Linked DNA regions of Oreochromis niloticus. The protein of the gene in region 1 binds, or shares a complex with, the protein of each later gene. Links are inferred from orthologs where the notes say so. Each region holds a gene or a part of one and is shown on either strand. Other genes may lie near its edges.

What was found.
Region 2: ubl4a (region 1) and get4 share a complex: the UniProt entries of both Homo sapiens proteins name them as parts of the BAG6/BAT3 complex. The link is inferred for Oreochromis niloticus from reciprocal best matches to the Homo sapiens genes UBL4A and GET4.

Annotation. Positions count from the first base shown.
Region 1 is NC_031977.2:13,689,642-13,700,305, reverse strand, and holds ubl4a (ubiquitin-like protein 4A), read left to right. Parts: upstream 1-5,820; 5' UTR 5,821-5,983; coding exon 5,984-6,031; intron 6,032-7,768; coding exon 7,769-7,874; intron 7,875-7,980; coding exon 7,981-8,219; intron 8,220-9,070; coding exon 9,071-9,178; 3' UTR 9,179-9,694; downstream 9,695-10,664. Other genes in the region: prkg1l (cGMP-dependent protein kinase 1), read right to left, coding at 1-59, 137-233, 316-393, 478-543, 689-783, 962-1,039, 1,162-1,282, 1,443-1,548 and 4 more; si:dkey-32e23.4 (dynamin-1-like protein), read left to right, coding at 10,470-10,571. UniProt on the Homo sapiens protein: As part of a cytosolic protein quality control complex, the BAG6/BAT3 complex, maintains misfolded and hydrophobic patches-containing proteins in a soluble state and participates in their proper delivery to the endoplasmic reticulum or alternatively can promote their sorting to the proteasome where they undergo degradation.
Region 2 is NC_031973.2:22,245,069-22,256,510, reverse strand, and holds the start of get4 (Golgi to ER traffic protein 4 homolog), read left to right. Parts: upstream 1-6,049; 5' UTR 6,050-6,146; coding exon 6,147-6,286; intron 6,287-7,226; coding exon 7,227-7,305; intron 7,306-7,633; coding exon 7,634-7,715; intron 7,716-8,081; coding exon 8,082-8,231; intron 8,232-9,753; coding exon 9,754-9,892; intron 9,893-11,442. Other genes in the region: GTPase IMAP family member 7-like, read left to right, coding at 386-425, 1,004-1,081, 2,306-2,356, 2,483-2,533, 2,620-2,670, 2,901-2,951, 3,692-4,470. UniProt on the Homo sapiens protein: As part of a cytosolic protein quality control complex, the BAG6/BAT3 complex, maintains misfolded and hydrophobic patches-containing proteins in a soluble state and participates in their proper delivery to the endoplasmic reticulum or alternatively can promote their sorting to the proteasome where they undergo degradation.

The DNA.
Region 1 (10,664 bases):
AGCTTCTTCTTGAGGACCCTCATGGCAAAAGGACACTTTGTCTTGCTCTTCAGTTGCACCTTACAGAGAACAGAAGTAAATGCATTACATTATAGACACATCGCCGAGGGCGAGCTGCTTGCAGATTGACCCTCACCAGGTCTACGTGACCAAACTCCCCGACCCCCAAAGAGCAGATAATCTGGAAATCACTTAAGGTGGAAGTAGACAGGAGGACAGGATCCACATCTGAGCTGCTTACAAGGAAAACAGGGGTGAGCTTTTATTCTGTGTCTTCTGTATATAGAAATGAAACAGTGTTTTAACGCTTCTCACTCGACTTCAGGTTCATCGTTTTGTTGCTCCTCTTGACTGCAATCAGGTGCCAACCCATCAATGATGCTCTTAAAGGTGCTGTAATACAGAGAATTACGAATATTCAGGTTAGATTAAGCACATTTTCAAATCAGAGAGCAGTGTGACAGCTGAATCACTTACTCTCTGTCTATTACCAGGCACGTAACTTCTCCAGCAGCTATCACACTCACAGTCCGAATGTCCTCTCTGAAGACAAGCAAGTATTACAAAATAAAACTATCAATAAGACTATCAATATACATATATATATATATATATGAATGTGCTTTTTCATTATATGTGCAGAAATTTCTTTACAGCATCATCTGAAGGAGCTTTTTTTCCTTCTTACCCCCACAGAGCCTTTTCTCCAAACCACTGTCTCTCAGAGAGCTTAGAAAGAACTACCTGTTCTTCCTGCTCTTGCCCCTTTTCAGTCACTTTCACCTGTCAAATGTAATGAAAAAAGAGGTAATGGTGATGAGCGCAACGCACCAAAGTAAATTATCACCATCATAAAGTCATTTCCGCCACTGCTTTGACATTTCTGTCATCCAGGCTGTAAATCTTTTCCTCAGAAAGCCCCCCTTGATCTGCGCAGCAGGATGAGAGCAGAAAACTTTACCTGGCCTTTGCTGATGATATAAAAAGTGTCTCCTGTGGCCCCTTGTCGAATGATGTAGTCGCCGTCGGCGTAATGTGTCTGTGGAAGACAAATGAAAACCGACAGCGGTGTGACCAGTGGAAAAACATCAATAAAACAAAGAAGGGTTCATCCAGAGAGCTTTCCTTGCACTTATACAGGCACTGCATGTAAACATTCACCTCATCCATTAGCTGGATACACCAGTGTGCTTCACAGTTAAATAACTTCAAGTGTACCTCTTCCATGAGATCCGACATTTTCATGAGGACATCTGCTGGGAGCGACTGGAGGAAGGGAATGCTGCACACAGATACAAACAAAAAGCACTGGATATCATCCGCAATAGCTCATGTAGGTGCATGAGGACAATGAGCAGATACCGTGCTCAGAGGTAAAAGCCTACATGGCCCATCAAAGCAGCTTTTTGGAGCTGCTTCATGTGCATCAGTCTGATTTTCACCTGCTAAGAAGCTCCACTGAATGGGAAAGGTGCTTGAGACCACTCTGCATGAGTATGGTCTGGTAGCTGTTGCGATCCACAACCCACAGCCTGCTGTCCGTTCGTGCTGCAGATCAAAAGACAGAGACAGAGGAAGACGCTGTGTCAGTGACAGACGAGTGAAAGCACTATCGAGACTCACGCTGCCTGTGATGGATGTGGACGTGCAGCCAGTAAGTAGGCCAGGATTTCATTAGAAATGCTTACCGTGTATCGTAAAAACTAAAAATACTTGTTTTCCTCACAGAGGTCAGTAGATATCAATCAAATCTAATTTCCTTCAGCCATCATCACCATCTTTCTTTGTAATAGAGCTTGAAAGAGAGTGTCGTTAATTAATAATGACCAGTATTGATTGATTCACTGAACCTTCCTGCAAACGGAAGACGACGTCCCCTCCAGACAGTCTAATAAGATCGAGCATCTGATTATTGCGGTGCAGTCCTTATCTCAGTTCCCCGTTTTTGGATACAAACCAAACTTTGTCGCTTTACCATCGTATGACACACGGCGTACAGCCATTGGTCCTTAATTCAATCTCCTACGCCAGGTATGATGGGAAGAAAAGTAATTTCAGGTCAGGAAGGAGATAAATGCAACAGGCCTTAAATGGATTGAAAAAAAGAGGGTACATGGAACAAGGGGGAGCAGCGAGTTTTGTTACCAGAGAGCAGACAAATGTAGAACAGTGAATTGGAAAGGCTGCCTGGTTACAGGATAACGAAAGGAGTTTTTAAAAAAAGGGGAGGAATGGGATGCTTTTGGGACCAAACAAGACAAAACAGACAGATTTTTCAATTTAAACTGATCCGGCCATTTTCACAGCCTATTTATTTGTGAAACCAGGTCAGACACACGCAGCCACGACTGAAAAGGTTTTCCCACAGGACTCTGTGATCGGATCCTCAAAGGAAATGATAGCACAGTTTCTGCTTTTAAGAGGGAAAAAAAATCATGTTTTTACACCAGAAAAGCACAGATGAGAGGTTGTAACGCAGCGGTCATTGAATCGAGATCGTTTACAAGAAGATTATTTTTAAATGTTTGCAAGATGCTGAGATGCTGGATTGTAGGGAGGAGATGTGGCGCTTCAGGCAGCCGTGTTAAGCGGAAAAAGCCGAGGATGCTTTAAATTCCTCACATCCGTTAGAAAGCCATGCGAAGCTGTTGTAAGATCTCAGAGGGTCTTTTGATTTTGAATTCAACAGGCATCTTTTGTCCGAGGCCACAGCCAGAAATCTTACCGCTTGCGAAATTCGCTTAAACTAGAATTATTTATATCCTCGCCGAATCAAAGTTAATCACAGAGAAATTCTTCAGGTTGACAGCTCTCCTGTGACATCTGAGCGCAATTATAAAATAAGGAAGCCGATGCAAAGCTTTGATTTACCTGACACAGAGTAGGTGTGGGTGCAGTTGTAAAGGAGCGCTAGCTCTCCAAACAAGTCTTCTGGTTCAACTGTGAGCAGCTTCAGTCCATCTTTCATCATTTCCAGCCTCCCTTCTGCGAATAAACAAACACTGGGTGAAGGACGACGCAGAGAAATGCGTTTTATGTCAGATAATGTACAGACTGAGAGAGATGTACAGCACAAACAACAGAAAGGCAAGGAGACCGGAGATAAACAGCCGCTCCGTCTCCTCGGGCTCAAGCTGACATTTCAACCCAAACTAGAAATGTGTTGCTCCACATGCTGTCACTTTATTGCACTTCTATTTGCTTCTATTTATCAGTACAAAAATTTTAATATAAAGATATGATCAAGCTCATCATTTAATCAGTCTGTCCTTAAGCATCTGACATCTCAAGGAAGCCTTAATAAATATCCTCGTGTGTGATTAATAGCGGCCATTGCAAGAGGAAAAAAGGATTTACCTTCCAAAACGTAAGCCTGAGCCCCAGCGGTCCCCTCCTGAATAACATAGCAGCCTTGATTGATGGTGGTGGAATGCATGCAGGCGATGATGGCTCTGATTTCTCCTTCATCAAGGTGCTTCAGCAAGTCGTTTCTCAGAAATGATGCCCGAATCAGCCTCTGGGACCTGAGGACATGAGGAAACGATATGAAATTTGCACGTGAGGATGAGTTATTAAACAGTGTCAAATACTTGAGCGTCTGACAATGAATAAAAAAAAAGCATTGGTTCATCATGAGTCATGCAGTCAGCAGTCAGTGAGCCTTGAACATGCATGAGTGTGATTTTTCAATCTGAGCAGGTGTAGCTCTGAAGGGAACACTGTGTGCTCTTACTCGTGGCTTTTGTCACAGCTTCTCTGTGAAACCAAGGCGAGAGTCACTGGGTCCAGAGTGAGGGGCTCACAAATCACCGTCTGCCTTCTGGGTCTCTTGTTGTCATCAGTTTGACCTGAGGTAGAAGCAAAAAAATAAAGAATAAAAAAGTCAAGGAAATCAAATAGAACTCTATATCAGTCCTAATAAGCTCTGCAATTATTAAAACAGCACAAAACTGCCTACATGCACTGACTGCAGAGGCTCCTGGGAGGGAGACAGTGGTTCTGTAGCGGTCTAGTTCTTCCTGCAGCCTCCGGATGAGTTCATCCTTCGTGTCCAGCTCAAGCTCCAGCTCATCTATCAGCGTGTCCCTCTGGCGAAGCTCCTCAATCTTTAGTTGCAAGGCAAACTGGAGGTCCCGAAGTGTACCCATCACCTGCAAACACTAGCAGACTTCATCTATGCTTTTGACAAAGAGCCATCCATAGAGTATATACATTCCTACAGCTGCTATGCAGCGTGGATCTATCTACAACAAACTTGACCTCTGTATGATTTTGATCTACACCTCTCTTTATTATTTAGCTAATCTGTCCAGGTGTAATGGCTTCTACCTGGATAAGAGCATAGATCCACCTGTTTTGGGCTTCTTGTACATTTTCACACCTATACGAGTGTTCATATGTTTACGAGCACATTAATGTTCACTGCAAATGAGTCACAGGTAAGGTATAGCCCCACATTGCAAGCATTAGCTCTAGTCTGTTGTTCTGCATCTCTATACATAATTCAAGCCACATTAAGAGAAAATACAAAGAAAGTAGAAATGAAATGCTTACACAGTAAATGTTAGTACAAACTTCCTACTGAGTCCCACACAAAAGTCCTAACAGGAATAAAAACATGAAAATAACATTGGATTTTCCATGTGACTGTTAGGCGTGGCTGATGCTTTCACGATGATTTTTTCTGTTTTTTTAATCTTTGCTGATTTTAGCTGTCATGTTTCTAATTGACTGTCTGTTAGCACAGATGAGGCTGTATCCGCAAACTGTATTAATGCTGTGCGATATTTCACACCATAAACAAACAAACAAACAAATGAACACAAACATCACTTACCACACGCAGCCTGTATGGCGTTATGGGGTCTATTTCACCGGCGTGTTTTGGCCTGGTTTGGCTGCAGACTGTTCACTCGACAGGTGCACATCCCGTCTGTAAGTGCCCAGCTGAAGGATGCTCTTCTTTCTTGCTCGCGGCTGGCCGGGGCTGGGCACAGACAGCAGGCAATCACATGACCCACACGGTGGAAACCATGCGGGGAGGGTGAGATGAGAAACGTGTGGATCGGATCCCATCTGGGTCACGGGGTCCTCAGGGTGTTCCGGAGCCTTGGGAGTAGGTGGGGATCCGGCAAACTGTGCAATGCATGTTAATGATTGTATGCCCAACCGATCATGAAGCAGGTTAAAGGCTGGCCGTGTGCACCGATCAAAGATTTATTCGTTTTCTCTCCATAGCAGCTGTGCAGCCATCCAAATATAATTTTACCTTATATCATGTTTTTTTTTCTCTCAGTAAAAGGCTTGATATGTATTTGATGTAGGTGCGTAAAGTAACAAAATAAATGTTCCTCTGCAATTGGACGGCAAGTGGTTTTCCGATAACAACAGTTTCAAACTACATGTGATGATAAGTTATGGTAACAGCTCTATAATGTTGCAATAATGTTAGCCATTAATAGGAAAATCAGTAATAAGTTACTGCGTTCATCACGACACTAGTAAAAACACGCTAGAGCCATGCAGCGTTAGTCCACTTTATTTAAACACAATTTCCGTGCGTGTTATTTAAACACACACAAAAATGAAAAAATGAAGAAAAAAAACTAGCCCTAGTGTACCATTGTTGATAATATTACTAATAGCCGCGTTATAAGTCAAATCTGTAAGCCTTTTTTTGAGTTTTCCCATCCTTTTTTTTCCTTTTAATATTCAACTGCGGCATAATTAGGAGAAAATAAATGGATTATTCTTTGTTTTTGTTGTTATGACACTTTCCTCTGAGGGCTGGCGTAGCTGCCATGCCACACTCCGGCCAGCGCGCGGCGGTAGTGGGATGCGGGAGAAGAAAATGGGCCGTTGGCAAGCAAAGAATCGCGAGCTGATAAAGTAGCTGTACTGTGAAGCAGCACACTCCGAGACGTTTTGTTACTTCATCTTTATTGTTGTGTAATTTTTTTGTTTTTTTAAAGCATATTCAAAAATGATCCTCACGGTGAAACCGCTTCAAGGAAAAGAGTGCAGCGTACAGGTGAGTGAAGTACCGCTGCGCTAGCTCACCGCCTCATGCTAACTGCGATAGCAGCTAGTAGTTTAGTCGGGCCAGCATTGGCATGTCACATGCCGAGCTACCTTCAGAAAAACGGCCACACATATGTTTCTTTTAAAATAATAAAATAGCCTGTCAAAAATACTGGGATTCAGTGCTACACACTGTAGCCTAAACTAGTCGGTTGTATGGGCATGTCTCCGCAGAGTCATTAATTTGGCTGGCGTGCTAGCTAAATCCTGGATAAGATGTTGCATACAATCTTCCCTGACAACAGCTGACTAGTAGCATTTGAAGTCGGTCTTTGTGGTTTCGGGGAAAGAAAAAAAAGGGAAGTCCTATCTGAGGGAAACAGCTTTTGGTGCAGTAAGACCAATATAGCTGTCAGTTAGCCTTAGCCACAGTCTGTCTCTCACAAAGCTAATTTTTTTTTAAATATTATAAAGCACAAACTGGACCTTTACTTGGAGACATAAGCAAAGGCCCCTGAATTAAAGAGAATATTAGCGTGTGGCAGCCACTATTTTAACATGACCAGGTTTTAAGGAAATATGCAGGCAGTCAAAAGCATTTTATTACGTGGGGAAGTATTTCCCCAAGTGGGGAAGTATTTCTAAAATCGTTTAAAAATTCTGTGTTCAGCAGAGAAGTGGTTCCATGCACAACATCTGTGCCATAACAGTGATTACAGCCATTTCGTTTAAAATGTTAGCAAGAGTACACTTTTTTTTTTTTTTTTTGAGAAATGGGGCTCTACAAATGCCAGTACAAACCGGGAATGTCACTTGTACATATATTTAACATTAATATCTGGATAATGTAAAGGTAGGAGTTATTTGAGAAAGATTTTTAAATGATAACTTAATTTATCAAGGAACAAACTTTCCAAAGCTCACCCAGTGTGAAAAAGGAATTGCCCCCTAAACCGAATAATTGGTTGTGCCACACCTGGCAGCAAGAACTGCAATCAAACTGGCAATGTGACTTTCATGTTGCTGTGGAGGGAATCTTGGTCCACTGTCCTTTACAATATTGTCCTAACTCAGCCTCATTGCAGGGTTTTCCAGTTTCAGTGTACTGTTAAAAGTCATCCCGAAATATTTTAATTGAATTTAAGTCTGGACTTTGACAAGGGAACTCTAAAACTTTTATGTTAGTTATTGAGCCATTCAAGGGCAGATTGCTGCTGTGTTTTTGGTCACTATCCTGTTGCATAACCCAAGGGCATTTGAGTGTTAGAGGACAAACTAGTGGCTCCTGAAGGATGGAGCAGAATTCATGGTTCCATGAATTACAGGAAGTCTTCCAGGTCCCGAAACAGCAAAGCAGCCCTACACCATCACACTACCTCCACTGTGTTTGACTGCTGGTGTGATGTTCTTTTTATGAAATGCTGTTAGTTTTACACCAGATGTAACACAGAACTCAAACTCTTCAAAAAGTCCAGATTTTTCTTGTCAGTCTAAAAAATATTTCCAAAAGGTTCTGGGGATCATCAAGATGCTTTTTGGCAAATGTGAGACAGGCCTTTGTGTGTGTGCGTGTGTGTGTTGTTTTGTTCCAAATATGCCAAAAAACAAGAAATCAAGAATAGGGCAATTACTCTTTTACAGCACTGTGTGCTGTGTAATTTAAACACTGTTCAGCTGCACAGACAGAAAACAGTGTCATGCTCTTAAATTACACATGTACTACATGATTGGGTTGTTTTTCTTCCAGGTGACTGAAGACGAAAAGGTCTCCACAGTGAAGGAGCTTGTGTCTGAACGTCTCAACATACCAGCAAACCAGCAACGGTTACTCTACAAAGGGAAAGCTCTCGCAGGTAGATGTGCCAACAGCGACATGTTTGATGGCAGCATTTGTTAATACTTTTATGCATGCGTCATATGTAAATTTTTAATGCAACACATTGTAACACTCTCCCTCAGATGAACACAGACTGAGTGATTACTCTATTGGTCCTGAGGCTAAATTGAATCTGGTAATCCGTCCCATGGGAGAGAGGACTGCAGCTTCAGGAACAGCAGCACCAGGCGGTGGTGGTAGCTGTAGCAGCACCAGCAGCGGAAGCAGCACACATGGAGGAGTGTGGCAGACCGTCTCCACTATACTTGCTAGACACTTTAGTCCGGCAGATGCAGCAAAAGTTCATGAACAGCTTATTAAGGTATTTAAATGCAGCGTCATTTTTTTTTTTTTTTCTTCAGACAAGTTGACAGGTGCGGATATTTAATAAATCTAAAATATTAAAGTTGAAAGGGCCAGTTATTGATGATTTATGAACATGTAGTGCTAATGGTGAGATACTGATTTAATTTCTGGAAATCTATTATTAATAATTACTACAATATTTGTATAATGCTTTTATCTTTTAATGAGAACTGTTTTTACTGTAGAAAGTGGGTGTACTGACAGCTCTTGAGTTTGTTAGTTGTTCAGCTCCTATCCATCCAACTGTGCTCACTAATTAGAAGCTACATTCAGCTGCTCCCTCATTCACGAGGCGTTGCCACAGCAGGTAGCTCTGCATGCCTTCCCAACGCAACCCCAAAGGGATTCATGTCTCCTCCTTTCGCTTGTTAGGCAAATATGTAAACCACTAAACTATGGAGCCACTAATTATGCTGGGCTAAATAATTAATTGAACAACCCAGACCAGTAGTAGCCAGACGTGTGTGTGTGTGTATTTGAAGGGTTGGGGGGGGGATGAAGCAAAATCTGGTTTGGCCTTTTGCTGCCAAATTCTGTTGTTATCCTGAAATTGTTGAATTATTTGCGTGCAAACAGCATTACAAAACAAACTGCCAAAAGTGCAAATTAGCTTACCTCCACTTACGTCCACACTTTTTGGACTTAACAAACTCCTTTTAAAAGCAACAAAAATGTTTCTGAAGGTCATGCCTCCAGTCCTCCATGCATTATTTCTCAGCCAGAACGTGTTGTAAATAAATGAACTGAAATGTTTTTAACCTGCTGTTTTTCAATATGTTTTTTTTTTGCTTTCTTTCTTTTCTCAAGGACTATGAACGTTCCCTTCGACAGCTTAGCCTCGATGACATTGAGCGCTTAGCGGGGAGGTTGCTTCATCCGGAGGGCGAGGGCATGGACACCTCATACATGGACTAAGAATGCATAGCTTGAAGCTGATTTTTTCCGATTGTTGTTTGAGAGACGCTCAGTGCTTTGAGATGCATACGGTGTTTAGAGTGTTAGGCTGTGGAAAATACAATGCCATTTTTCTTACAGAGAGCCCCAGGGTGAGCATGGATAACACTGACTGTTTGTCTCAGCAATAGGGCTTTCTTATCTTGGATGAGAAAACTTGGCATCTTGGAATTGGCCCTTGTCATTGGTGGCACAGTAACCTCGACCTGATCACATAATGTCTGAATACAAAGGAGTCCATTTATGAAGCTATCTTCACATGATCTCTGGCTGCTACCATTTCCAGGGGACACTAACTTCTAATGGAGGGTATTTATTAGTAATATTTGGGTTGCGTGATGACCGGGTGTTTCCTGTTATAACCATCTGTGCAGTTCATACATGTTTTATTCTGTAACTTACTGATGACCATTGTATGATTTGTAAATATCATGTTTATATATACAGATATTAAAACACAGGTAGAAAAAAAAAAAACTATCTTTCCGCTTTTGTTGTGTGCTTTTTAAGTGTCAGAATATACAAATGTATAAGCGGTGTGGTTTGATTTGAGGTTTCACAAGGCGGGACTTTACATATCAACCAATCAGATGTTAGGAAACCTCGTGACTCAAATTTCTGACCAATTGGATTGACTGAGTAATACGGTTCCGCCTTTGTGATCAACTGACGGTCTGTATCTTTATACTGCTAATTTTGGATGCCATTTCGGGTGGAATGAAGGGTTAATGCGTTATTTTAATACAAACTATGAAGAACAGGAAACTTGGATAGGAAGGAATATATCTTGAACATTGGTGAGGTCAGCATCGGGTATCGTTTCTTTAGCAGCTAAGCGAGTGTAAGCAGTTAGCTAGCTTATCCCTTTCACTTCCTCCCTTTACCGAATAGATTTAGCAAGCTATGGTTAGCACATAACATCGAGTGTCTCGGCTTGTGCTGTCACCATTTGTTGCACTGTTAGTCAGACCTGGTTTCATCCCAGTAGTTGACAACTCGTAACCAGTGTTCATCTTAAAATGCCACTTCAAACTGGTGTTTAACCTGGGAGGATTGAACGTGGTGTTACACCCCTCTCATCAGGACCACTTCTCCGTCTGACGAAGCTATTCCGTTTTTTCTCGGAGGCTAACTGTTTTGAAGTGGACTGCATTACTTTTATCTTTGCTTCCTTATTTGTGTGTGTGTGTGTGTGTGTTTAATTTATTCATTTTTAAACCAATGTAGCAACAGTGTCCGGTCTGTTGGAAGGATGGAAACTCTCATTCCCACCATCAACCGGTTGCAGGAGGTCTTTCTAACACTGGGGGCGGAGATCATACAGTTACCTCAGATAGTCGTGGTTGGATCTCAGGTGGGCTAGGACACATCTAAAGTACTGTGCAAAAGTCTGAGCTACCCATGACTTCGTTATATTTTGTTTCCAAGCAGCCAGGCTTTCTTCTAA
Region 2 (11,442 bases), on another chromosome or scaffold:
AATCAGAGTTGTAACCCCATGTGAGTTGTACTGGCAGTCTGAAAGCTGATGTCACTCTTGGAGGGAGATTATCTGGCTATACATCAGGTAAAAGCTCTTCATGAGCATTTTGCTGTTGATAAAGCTCAAAAAGGACTTAACAACATTATGTTATGTTTGGTTTTTCAGCTCTGTCTTGTAGTCTAGACACCTGTTAATCAGAACCCTTTCCTTTTTTTGTCAGATGAGTTTTTATTCCTTGTTATAACTGAACACTCTAGGAAAATTACATAAACATTGCAGCGTTTTCAAGCAGCTTGTTTAACCCGTGTTAGCTCTGAGCAGAAGTGGTGCTGCCTGTTCTTCTTACCTTGACACCAACTACAGCGTTCCCATCTGCTGAGACATGGAGTGTCAGTGTGAGAAAAACACCCCTGAGGATGCAGGTAGGCAAAATATACATAAAAAAAATAAACCTTTACACACAAAAAATATGCTACTGACATGTTTTGTTTTTTAATTTATTGGCCTATTTTTTAAATATCATATTCTGATGACGCATCTTTATTGCTGGAAAATGTATGTTACATGTAAAGTGTTGAGTTCAGGCGTTGTAGTTTGCAGTCTTTAAAGGTTACAGCCAAGTTAAGTCTTAAAAATAAGTGTAAACAATCAAAAACCATGTGACAGGTTTGGTCTTTTTCTTACAAGTCATTTATAACAAAAACTACGCAAACAATGTTAAAGAACCAGACACACTGTTTCCTGCTATTGAAATATTCATTCTGTTGTGATGCCAGCAATTAAAAATAAAAGCAGCAGCTCTAAATGTAAAAGCTGATGCCTGCAGACTCACCACACATAAAACACTGTCTTTACAAACACAGCTTTCTTGGGATCCTTCAGGGGATTTCATTTCTATTTTTTTTTCTCTAAATGTGGGTGAAAGGCTAAACTGATGCTAAGTTGTGAACAGCTCTGCACCGCTAATGTCATGTTTGCCTCCCTGCCTTCTCCTTGATAGGCTGGTGGATGAACACCAACAGTGTCCAGATGGGACTTTTTACCGTGGTGGGGTATCTTCTCTACAGGTTCTCACAGAGTCAGTCACACAGCAACACCCACACTTCTACTGTTTAATGACTTTTACTGCGTCTAGAAAATAAATAATGAATCTGTAATAGTGAACTATTTTCAGGTAGTAAACAGATGTTTATAAATCTTACTAGTCTTTTTTTCCATTTCTTTTTCTTTTAAACTTCTCCTGTCCAGCACTTTTAGCAAACAGAATCATGGTCTGCTTTGTTGTGCCAAACACATTTGCATTGCCAAGAGGAGTGCTGTAGACAGTCTATAGGCTCCTTTTGTTAGTTGTTTTCTTTTATTTATTTATTTTTTAGATCTTTTATTTTAGATCTCACATTATTATCTGACTGGTTATCATGCCAGACCTGACAGGGTGTGAGGGCCAAGTTATCGAAAGACAGGAGATAAGGGGGGTGGAGGGGGTAATTTCGAGTAACATACCGCAAACATATGACACACTAGTCTAAATCTTCAAACCGAATCAATAACCTGTCATCTGAACACTTAAATGATCCAAAATGGGACAGAGACTAGAAAGAGAGAGCATATTTCTCCTATATTGGCTTCTCTTTACTGGCTGCCAGTTAAATGCATAATCAAATTTAAAATCCTTCTCTTCGCATGAAGATCATGAATAATCAGGCCCCGTTCAATTTAATTCAATTCAGTTAAATTCAACTCAACTAAGTTTTATTTATATAGCACCAAATCACAACAGTAATCTCAAGGCATTTTCTGACAATAATAGAGAAAACCTCAACAATCGGACAACCCCTTATGAGCAAGCATTTGGCAACATCGGGGAGGAAAAACTCCCTTTTAACAGGAAGCAACCTCCATCAGAACCAGGCTCAGAGAGGGAGACAGGACAAAAGATACACCGAATCATCTTAGTTATGCAGCAATATGCTTAGGATGCTGCAGACTTCCTATGATTCAATGAGTGTTTTGTCTTTAATCAGCTGTTTTCTCTCTGTGTGTTCATACACCACTCAACATTTTATTATTAGTTACTATTCATCTCTTGCTCATGTTTACAGTTTGTCTCTTGTCCTGTATCAGCTGATTGAATGTAGAGTTTGACTATAGTAAATCCAAAAGAAACAAATAAAAGGGGGCAGTATGGATCCTACAGTTATGGCATATGAATAAATACATGTTCATTATAGAAAATGAATCAGCAAGTCTCCCTATTATTATGACACTCTGTGATACTCATTCTAGCCTCACTTCCCTGCAGCTCTCCCAGCTCTGATTCGATGGCCGATTCGTCTCTTTTGTTCTTTAACTGGTGAGTTTATCTAAGCTAATACATCACTTTGACTTCCAAGTTTCAGGACAAAACCAGCAAAATGAAACTTAATTGAAACAAAATGAAAGTTAATTCATGCACACTGATTATTTCTTTTCCCTTCAGGTCTGTCAGCTCTTTGGGGGTGGATAAGCCGGCTTGTGGGAACCCTCCGAGGTATAAAGCACATCCCCCATTTTACCATTTAAAACAAAATCTGTTAAACTGGAGCTGACTTTTCCACTCCATGTCTCGTGTCTCAGTACTCCAGACCTTGTTTAAGTGGCTGTCTCGGATTTGGCGCTTTTTAGCCAGTAAGTATTTCTTGTATCTTTGTTGGATTTCGTTTTCTCTTCACTGCGTGTTGCAAATAGAGAGTGAAAAAGAAAACGTTTAGAATCTGAGTGGCTATCAGAGGACATGACCCAGCAGTGCAAGCAGACATGGGACAGCAGTTTAAAATGTGAAGGCATCACACCTGTTTCTGTGATACATGTGAGTTATTACAACCCTAATGTAAATTTCTATCTGCTTGCTTCCTCAGCATTTTCCTCAAGATTCAAGTGGATCGCTGCTGTCATCAAAGCCATCAACAGTCAGTTTGTTGTCATTTTTATTAGCTATATTTAGCTACATACTCTATATATCAATATGTATTTGTTCATTTTTTGTAGTTTGTTTTTGTGCTTTTATGGGATTTGTCTCACAAAACGATCAATGGTCTCAGAAACAACCTCATGAGAGGGTTTTCCATAATTATTGGCTTTCTGGTATGTTTAAGAACTCTCATTCAAAACTCCTTCAGTTTCAGGATATTTCAGGTTCTTGCATCCTTATAATGCCTGTTTTGCATTATAAGGATTATGGAGTGATTCATCTTTCTGAGATATATTTCTTGTTGTACTTGCAAATCTGTTCAGGATCATTATCCTAAGCACAAGGTCCACTTTCAGCTCAGTCTCAGCTTTCAGACAAATGGTCTTACACTATCTCTCAAACTGGCCTAAAGCGATCACTGATGTGACACAAATTCATTCTTATGTCACTGACTGTATGTAAGTGAGGCAGCGATGTGCCCTCTAACCACGGCATTTTTGCAGTTGGTATGAGGTTCTTTTCCTGAATCACCATCTTTGGCATGTATTGTATTGTTTTCAGCAGCAAATATTGTTATTCCACACAAGTTCCTAAGACTCTTCTTATAAATTTCCCAACTGAGAAAATGAAAAAAATGAAATTTTAGATCATCAGATTGAGCTCATTTTGATTTAGAATCACAGCTTTACCCCATAAGGCTTTTTAAAATTCTAAAATAATATTGTATTATCTCTGTAGATTCATCCAGAGACGGCTCTTTGGACTCACAGAGTGATCCAGTCATTAGCAGCTTACTGAACCAAATGCTTGATCCCTCTGGCGGCAGCATTCCCAAGAAACCAGGTCTCAGGCTGGTCCTCCTGGGGCTTCCTGGTGGAGGACGGACTTCCCTAGCAGATACTTTAATGAACAACAATGAGAGAAGCACCAAAAGGGTTCCTCTAAAGGAGAGTACCGTGCAAAGGGCTTTTATAGATGGTAGAGAACTTATAGTAATTCAGACCCCAGATCTTTTGGGGACGTCACTAGGGAACAGAGAGAGAGCACTGGAAGTTCTGAGGAGTGTCCAGCTCGCCAGTCCCGGACCACATGCCTTTTTAATGGTGATGCGTACTCCAGGCTTCACCAAGGGGGCTGAGCAGGATGCTGCCCAAGCAGTCCAAGCCACAATGGAACTGTTCGGTGTGGAAGTCAAGAGGTACATTATCCCAGTGCTCACTCATGCAGACCGTCTGGGTCGAAGGAACACTTTAGATCAGCTGCTTGATGCAGATGCTGGAAATCTGAAAAGCGCTGTGGCACTGTGTGGCCAGAGGCCTGAGCTGGTGGATAACAGGCCCGACCGCCCCGCAGAGGAAAGAAGTGTTACACGCAGGCAGCTGGTGGAGCGTGTGATGGAGGTAATGGAGCTGAAGGGGCATTTTGTCCACGAGCTACAGAGAAGAGAAGACCACATGAGGGAGGTGCTGCTGGCTGATATGACCTCTGCACTGGCTAAAAGACTGGGATATATGTAGAGAGAGAAGAAGAGAAGAAGAAAGGGCAGTATGTGCAACAAGTTGGAAAGATGGTGGAGGTGGAAGTGTTTGCCACTGTTCAGTAGTGGACAGTGGTATGTATTATAGTTTCCAACATACCCTAGATTGTTTAAAAATATATTTTTTGTGTTCTCCAGATGGCTGTTTACAGCTACTAAATGCTTAAATGTTTACTGTTTACTTTTCTCAGCAAAGAACGCATTGTTGATTATATGGCCCAAATATTTAGCTGTAGCTGTAGATGATGAATTTGTCTACCTGTGATGCATAAAAGTCACTGTTTACAGAATCAGCATTTTATAAATGAATATTTTTATTAAATTTACTTCTGCTTTTCATTCTTCTTCCAATAATTTAAGTGGGGAAAAAAACTACAAAACCTACAAAAAATATATAATAATTTAAAAGAACTAACTTGTCTGTCACTTATAGATAACAAATAAATGTGCTCTTAAATATACTCATCTGAAACAACAATCACTTAAATTTTTCAAATGTATGGCTGTCAGTCAACTGTGGTTACCTAGCTTTGATAAGTAAATTTTTCCACAAACTTCTCTTGATAATGTAGCCAAAATGATGATAATGAATATAAGAATAGTGAAGCAGAGTTAGTTACATCAAGTATTCAATACACTATGTGCTGTTATACTTTTACTCCCAAAAACTACAGTCAGAGTCACCAAGTATGCCAAATGTCATCTGGCTAAATAAATTCCATTAGTACTAATATTGCTATAGGCTCAAAACCACAACAAGAAAAAGTTGTTACAGGATATAAGGACATAGGATTAAAGCCCATAATAATGTTTAGGTATTTTGTAGTTTACAAGGTCTGAGAGGCACCTGGACATCTGCACCTCGTCTATTTTCAGGTTCCAGATTTATTCCAGATTCAAGTCTATTAAGACGCGTTTTTGACTGTTAAAAAAAAAAAAAGTTGAGTAACAGATACAAGTAACTTCAGCTGTTCGGAAATATGAAATGATCCTCTTGTTGTTGTAATTACAGCAAATATCTATAGAAATGTTCTGTCTATCTGTTAAGTCTTTCTCTCTGATCTTTCCTGATTAGTAATGTTTCTCATATAGCTTTCTACAGACACTAGAAGAACAGTAACATTACAGTCTGTAAGCATAACACATATCAGAAAGCTGGCTTTACAGCTAGCTAATGAATGACAATAAGTTCACCAGATGGGATGGGACACATATTTAGCATCTGTGCCACACTACAAAACTATGATTTATTTATTCTTCACTATAAATCCCGTTTTTAAGTTTTTCTCCAAATCTAGATAACTCAATCTGTTATAGTAATTAACAGTAATTAATTAATTAAAGTCAGGATGCAAATATGTTACTTACTATCCAGTCATTTAATAATATATGCCAAAAAACGGTGAATCTCTTTTTTTTTTAACCATGTTTTTATTTTTTTGTTTTATTTTCCTTACAATTAACCTCGTCATCGTGTTGCCTCAAGCATCATCTGCTGGTTAAAAAAAGGTTTCAAAAGTTTTCATGCTTCCATGATTATTACACCTACTGCGATACACCGGCTACGGCAAGCGACGAGGGTCCATTAAGTTTAAAGCTTTCCGGGTTCACCCTGTCAACAGTCGCTGGGTGTGCTGCTGCTGCTACGGAGCAACGATGTCGGAGCAGGAGTCTCTGAGGTGCTCCAGTGCCAGAAACCGTGGAGGCGTACAGAGGGTGGAAGGAAAACTGCGAGCCAGCGTAGAAAAGGGGGATTATTATGAAGCACATCAGATGTACAGGACTTTATTTTTTAGGTGAGACTTCGTTTTTACGTTTGTTCATTCGGTTATAATTGCCATTTGGCTTCGAGGCCTGCCTGTTCCAGATCATTCTGCTGTCAACCATGCTTTTACACCTGACTGTCTGTGATTGGTCTGCTTTCACGGCGGGCCTGCCCACTCTTCGTGATTCTTGTGTTTGTTTGGACGGTCGCGTTTTCCATCTAGTCTGAAAACGGGACTGCTAACTAATGCTAGTTAGCCAGCTATGTGTTTGCTTTTGATGGCTGAAGTGTAGTTAGCTACCCGGACAATGCCTACCACAGATATTCTGCTTTTGTGTGTTACTTGAAAGTCTATTTATTCGTACATAACCGAATCTAGCGGCTGACTATTTTAGTAACTGACGACGTTGCGAAAACTTGTTAGTTGAAGATGTCCGGCTGAGTTAGCCAGTTAGCAACATTCTGCACCGTCGCGGTCTGGACCGTGATGGCTGGACGTGCTATCGCTTAGCAAAAGTGTCTTCATTCACAGCCAATCCATTTAGAAACCTGAATAAGCCTAAGCGTTTGTTGGGTGTTCCAGTCTTTGTCATAAAAGATCAGTCTCAACTCCCTGCTCCAACACTAAGACATCTGAGCTCTGTTTAGTGCAATAAAATTATTAGTCAAGGTGCAATACTGGTTAGCTGCGTACCACCAGCTTTTAATTAAAAAAAAAGAAAAAAGGTGATATAAACCTATTTGAATGCAGTTTGAAAACGTTCTTTCTCTCACAGTTGTGTGTGTTGGCCTGCTCATTCATTGGTTTTCATCATTGAAGTGTTAACACCTGGAAATAAAGGGAGTCTAAAACATTGTCTTCCTTCATTGATACCTGCTGTGAAAAAGAAGGGAAGCAGGACTGAGCTCGTGTCCCTTGGAAACAGATAATGTCATCTCTTGTGTAATACTGATACTCTGTCTTGCATCAGGTACATGTCACAGGGGAAGCATGCGGAGGCCAGGGAGCTGATGTATAACGGAGCTCTGCTCTTCTTCAGCTACAACCAGGTACATGCAGCACTGAGTTTGTTAGAAAGCAAATTATTTTGGCTGTAATAATTGACTTGTTTTGTGTAATTATAATATTTTAACGTAGATCATTAACCCAAGTTCCAGACAGTTCCTGACGGTGTAGATTAAAAAAAAAAAAAATACACTTGCTGTGTTTATAGTAACCAATGTCCGTAATGTAAATATGTAAGAAAAATTGTATGTTTCTGTTCTGTGTCCTGTGTACTGTTTGTTTGTATACGTGTCTTTCTGGCTGCTGTTACAACCAAATTTCCCCTTGTGGGACAATTAAAGGATTATTCTATTCTATTCTTTTGGTTTGCAGCAAAACAGCGCAGCAGATCTGTCCATGCTGGTGCTGGAGGTTTTGGAAAAATCTGAGACAAAAGTTGAAGATGAAATATTAGGTGGGTGCAAGACTTTGTCTTTTAAAGTTCATCTACAAGACTTGTAAATAGTGGTAAATACATTTTTTTTTTTTTCTATTGAAATAAATATTACCAAACAAAAATCAGATATAGAATATGTGCAGTTTATCAAACATATCCTGAACATTAACTGCTGCAGTAGCTGAACTGTGGATTTGTACGTCATATAATAAATAATTGATTGGCCTTGACTACTGTACTCATCAGCTTCATCTCACTTCTCTATCTGTGTGTATAATTGCTCGTAAATGATGTAGTAATAAATCCTCATGATAGTCAAAGAAGTCTGCACAACAGGGCATTTCATTTATACTTCTCTGACTTTTTTTTTTTTTTTTTTTTAAGAATGTCTGGCTAAACTCTTCAGCCAGATGGACCAGAACTCTCCAGAGAGAGTAGCATTTGTTTCCAGAGCCTTGAAATGGTCCACAGGAGGGTCTGGCAAGTTGGGTCATCCAAAACTACACCAGCTGCTTGCTGTCACTTTGTGGAAAGGTAAAAGTTGATCATGTTGATTATGTAGCGCAGAGTAGAACGTTTTTGAATGTACGTATTAAGATATCAGTAGACGCCATCGGTTTTACTGATAGTTTGTTAGATATATTGATTATTAACAGTGAACCCATGACTGCAAAGTACAAAATGTTTCGATGCACATACACACTAGATTTAATTGTGGGTGTGTATGATGTCTAGAATACTCAGAGAATACACACAACACCCTATTCCAAAAATGTTGGGGCTCTGTGTGAAATGTAAATAAAATCAGAATGCAATGATTCACAAATCACACAAGTACATATGTTATTTACAATAGAACATAGAAAATGTATCAACTGTTTAAACTGAGAGGAACCATTTTAAGAAAAATATTAGCTCATTTTGAATTTGATGGCAGCAACACATCTCCAACAGGCCTCCTCGAGCTGAGGAGAGCAGTTCTTTGACTCTTGGGAGAAGAATGTTAGCAAAAGGGTCCCATTCTTGTCTTATAGAGGATTCCAGCTGCTTAATAGTCCTGACTGTTGCTAAATTTTTGCTTCATGAAGCACTAAATGTTTTCAGTTGGTGAGAGTGTAGTGTACTGCAGGCAGGACAGTTCACCACCTACATCTTCTTCTACTAAGAAGCCATGTAGTAGTAGTAGCTGCAGTTTGGCGTTGTCTCACTGAGATATGCAAGGCCTTCGATGTAAAAGACATCCAGATGGGAGCATATGTTGCTCTAAAATCTGTACAGCTAGATGAGATATTCAAGGTGTTCACAGCTTTACACTGAAGAAATTGTTACGAAAGTTGTAGACTGTTTTTGCAGATTGGTAAAACTCTGCCCATCTTTACATACTTTACTCTGCTTCTCTAAGATGCCCTTTTTTAAACCCAATCATGTTACTGACCGCTTGCCAGTTAGTTTAGAAAATATTCCTCTCACCGTTTCTTTTTGTGCCACTTGCATTTCCAGCCTTTTGTTGCCCCCGTTCCAACATTTTTGTTGAAAAGGGGGCAACAAATGTACTGATCAGCAGTTTAAATGTTTTAAAGACATCCAATGTCTTTAAAACACTTTTGAGACATTTTAGCTGCCATCAAATTCAAAATGAACTAATCTTTTAAAATAATGGTGCATTTTTTTTTCATTTCAAACAATGGATATTCTATTTTAAATAAAAGTTTGTGGGTTTATGAACATCCCTGCATTTTCTTTTTATTTATATTATACACAGTGTTTCGACTTTTTGAAACTGGGTTTAAAATTCAGTAGCTTTGTATGTGTTAAAACATAGTGTCATGTCACAAGGTCATAGTGTGTCCTTATTCTAGAAACACAGGGCATTTGCTCCTTGTATCAGTCCGTCTTGACTAATTATGCTTGCATGACATCTTCTTTGTAAAATGACATCCTGTTTGGTGTCTTTCCTGGTAACGTTGTTTTGTTGTGCTTGCTATGTCATTACTGTCCTGATGTTGCCGTCTTGGAAATTAAGGTGTTGTTGTATTTTTTTCTTTTAAATCGTCAGAGCAAAACTACAGTGAGTCTCGTTATCACTTCCTGCATTCCTCTGACGGGGAGGGCTGTGCACACATGTTGGTGGAGTATTCAGCATCACGAGGCTTCCGCAGTGAGGTTGACATGTTTGTGGCGCAGGCCGTCCTACAGTAAGTGAACTGTCACCTTGTCACATTCTTGGATGCAAAATTTAGAAAGGGGGAGGGAGCCAAATTTAGCTGTGTGGGGTTTTTTTTTTTTTCTTCTTGTATTCTTCTTTGTATCAGACTTACATGTTTGAGACCAGCAAACAAAGATAACCAGAGTTAATAAAACATGATGATTTCATTTATTATGGGGGAAAGAACAGCCATCCAAACCTAGCTGACCATATGTTAAAAACTTATTGCCCCCCATTTCTTAAATCATTAACTGTCATTAGCTACTTTTTTGGAAAGCTGAGTTTGACTTCATTAGCTAAATCCCGGCCTGATCTCTTCGATCAAGACATCACTTAAATAGAAACTGTTTGACAAAGTGAAGCAGGCTAAAAGATGTCAACATGCAGTGATCTACAGAAACTCAAGAACAGCTGAGAAACAAAGTCATTGACAGTTATCAGCGTGGAAAGGCTTGGATAGTCATTTCTAAGGCTTTGGGACTCCAGTGAGCCAGTCAGAGCCATTATCCATAAATGGAGAAAACTTGCAACAGTAGTGAACCTTCCTAGGAGTGGCTGGCCTACCCAAATCAGTCCAAGAGCGCATTGAAGATCAGGTCAAAAAGGAACCCGGAACTGCAGGCCTCACTTAGCTCAGTTATTGTCATGATTCAACAATAAGACAGAGACTGGGCAAAGAGGGCCTCCATGGGAGAGCTCCAAGGAGGCCAAATAGAACACAAAGTCTCACATTTTCCAAGAGAAAAAAAAAAAAAACATCTTTTAGGAAATATTCTGTGGTAAAACTAAGACAGCATTTCATAAAAAGTTCATACCAACAGTCAGACATGGTGGTGGTAGTGTGATGGTCTGGAGCTGCTTTGGCACCTGCATGACTTGCTGTAACTGATGGCACCATGAATTCTGCTTTCTCCTGAAGGAGAATGTCCGAACATCAGTTCATGACTTGAAGCTCAAGTACACTTATGCATCCCATCTCTGAATGGTTAAACATAAATGAATAAATAACTCAATGAAATCACGGTTTTGGAGTGGCCTAGTCAAAGTTCAGACTTAAATCTGATTGAGATGTTTGGCATGACACTAAACAGGCGGTTATGACAAATGCGTGATTGCAGGTCTTGCTGCCAAAGGTAACACAACCAGTTATTAGGTTAGAGGGCAATTAATCTGTGGTTTTCTAATGTTTCTGATTGGAGTAGGTGGCGCTCATAGGAATCTTTTTGTGCAGAAGAGTCACATGACATGCATTTTTATGTGAGTGACCAAGCACAGAGTCTGAAACAGAAATCCCACCTTAACAGAGAAATTTGATGACAGTGCTAGTGATCCCTGTTATAAACTGGGGATTTAGGTTTTGTTGAACCAGCTAAATGCCAGAAAGCCTAGCTGTGTGGAACTTGGTTTGCAGTTTACCCCTCAGGAGTATTGAGTATAGTGTCGGTGTTCAGAAGCGGTAGAAATGGAGAAAATGGTACTGACGCATCAATCTCCAACATGTCGACCAGCTGCATTTATTTTCAGTCTGTCAGCCATTTC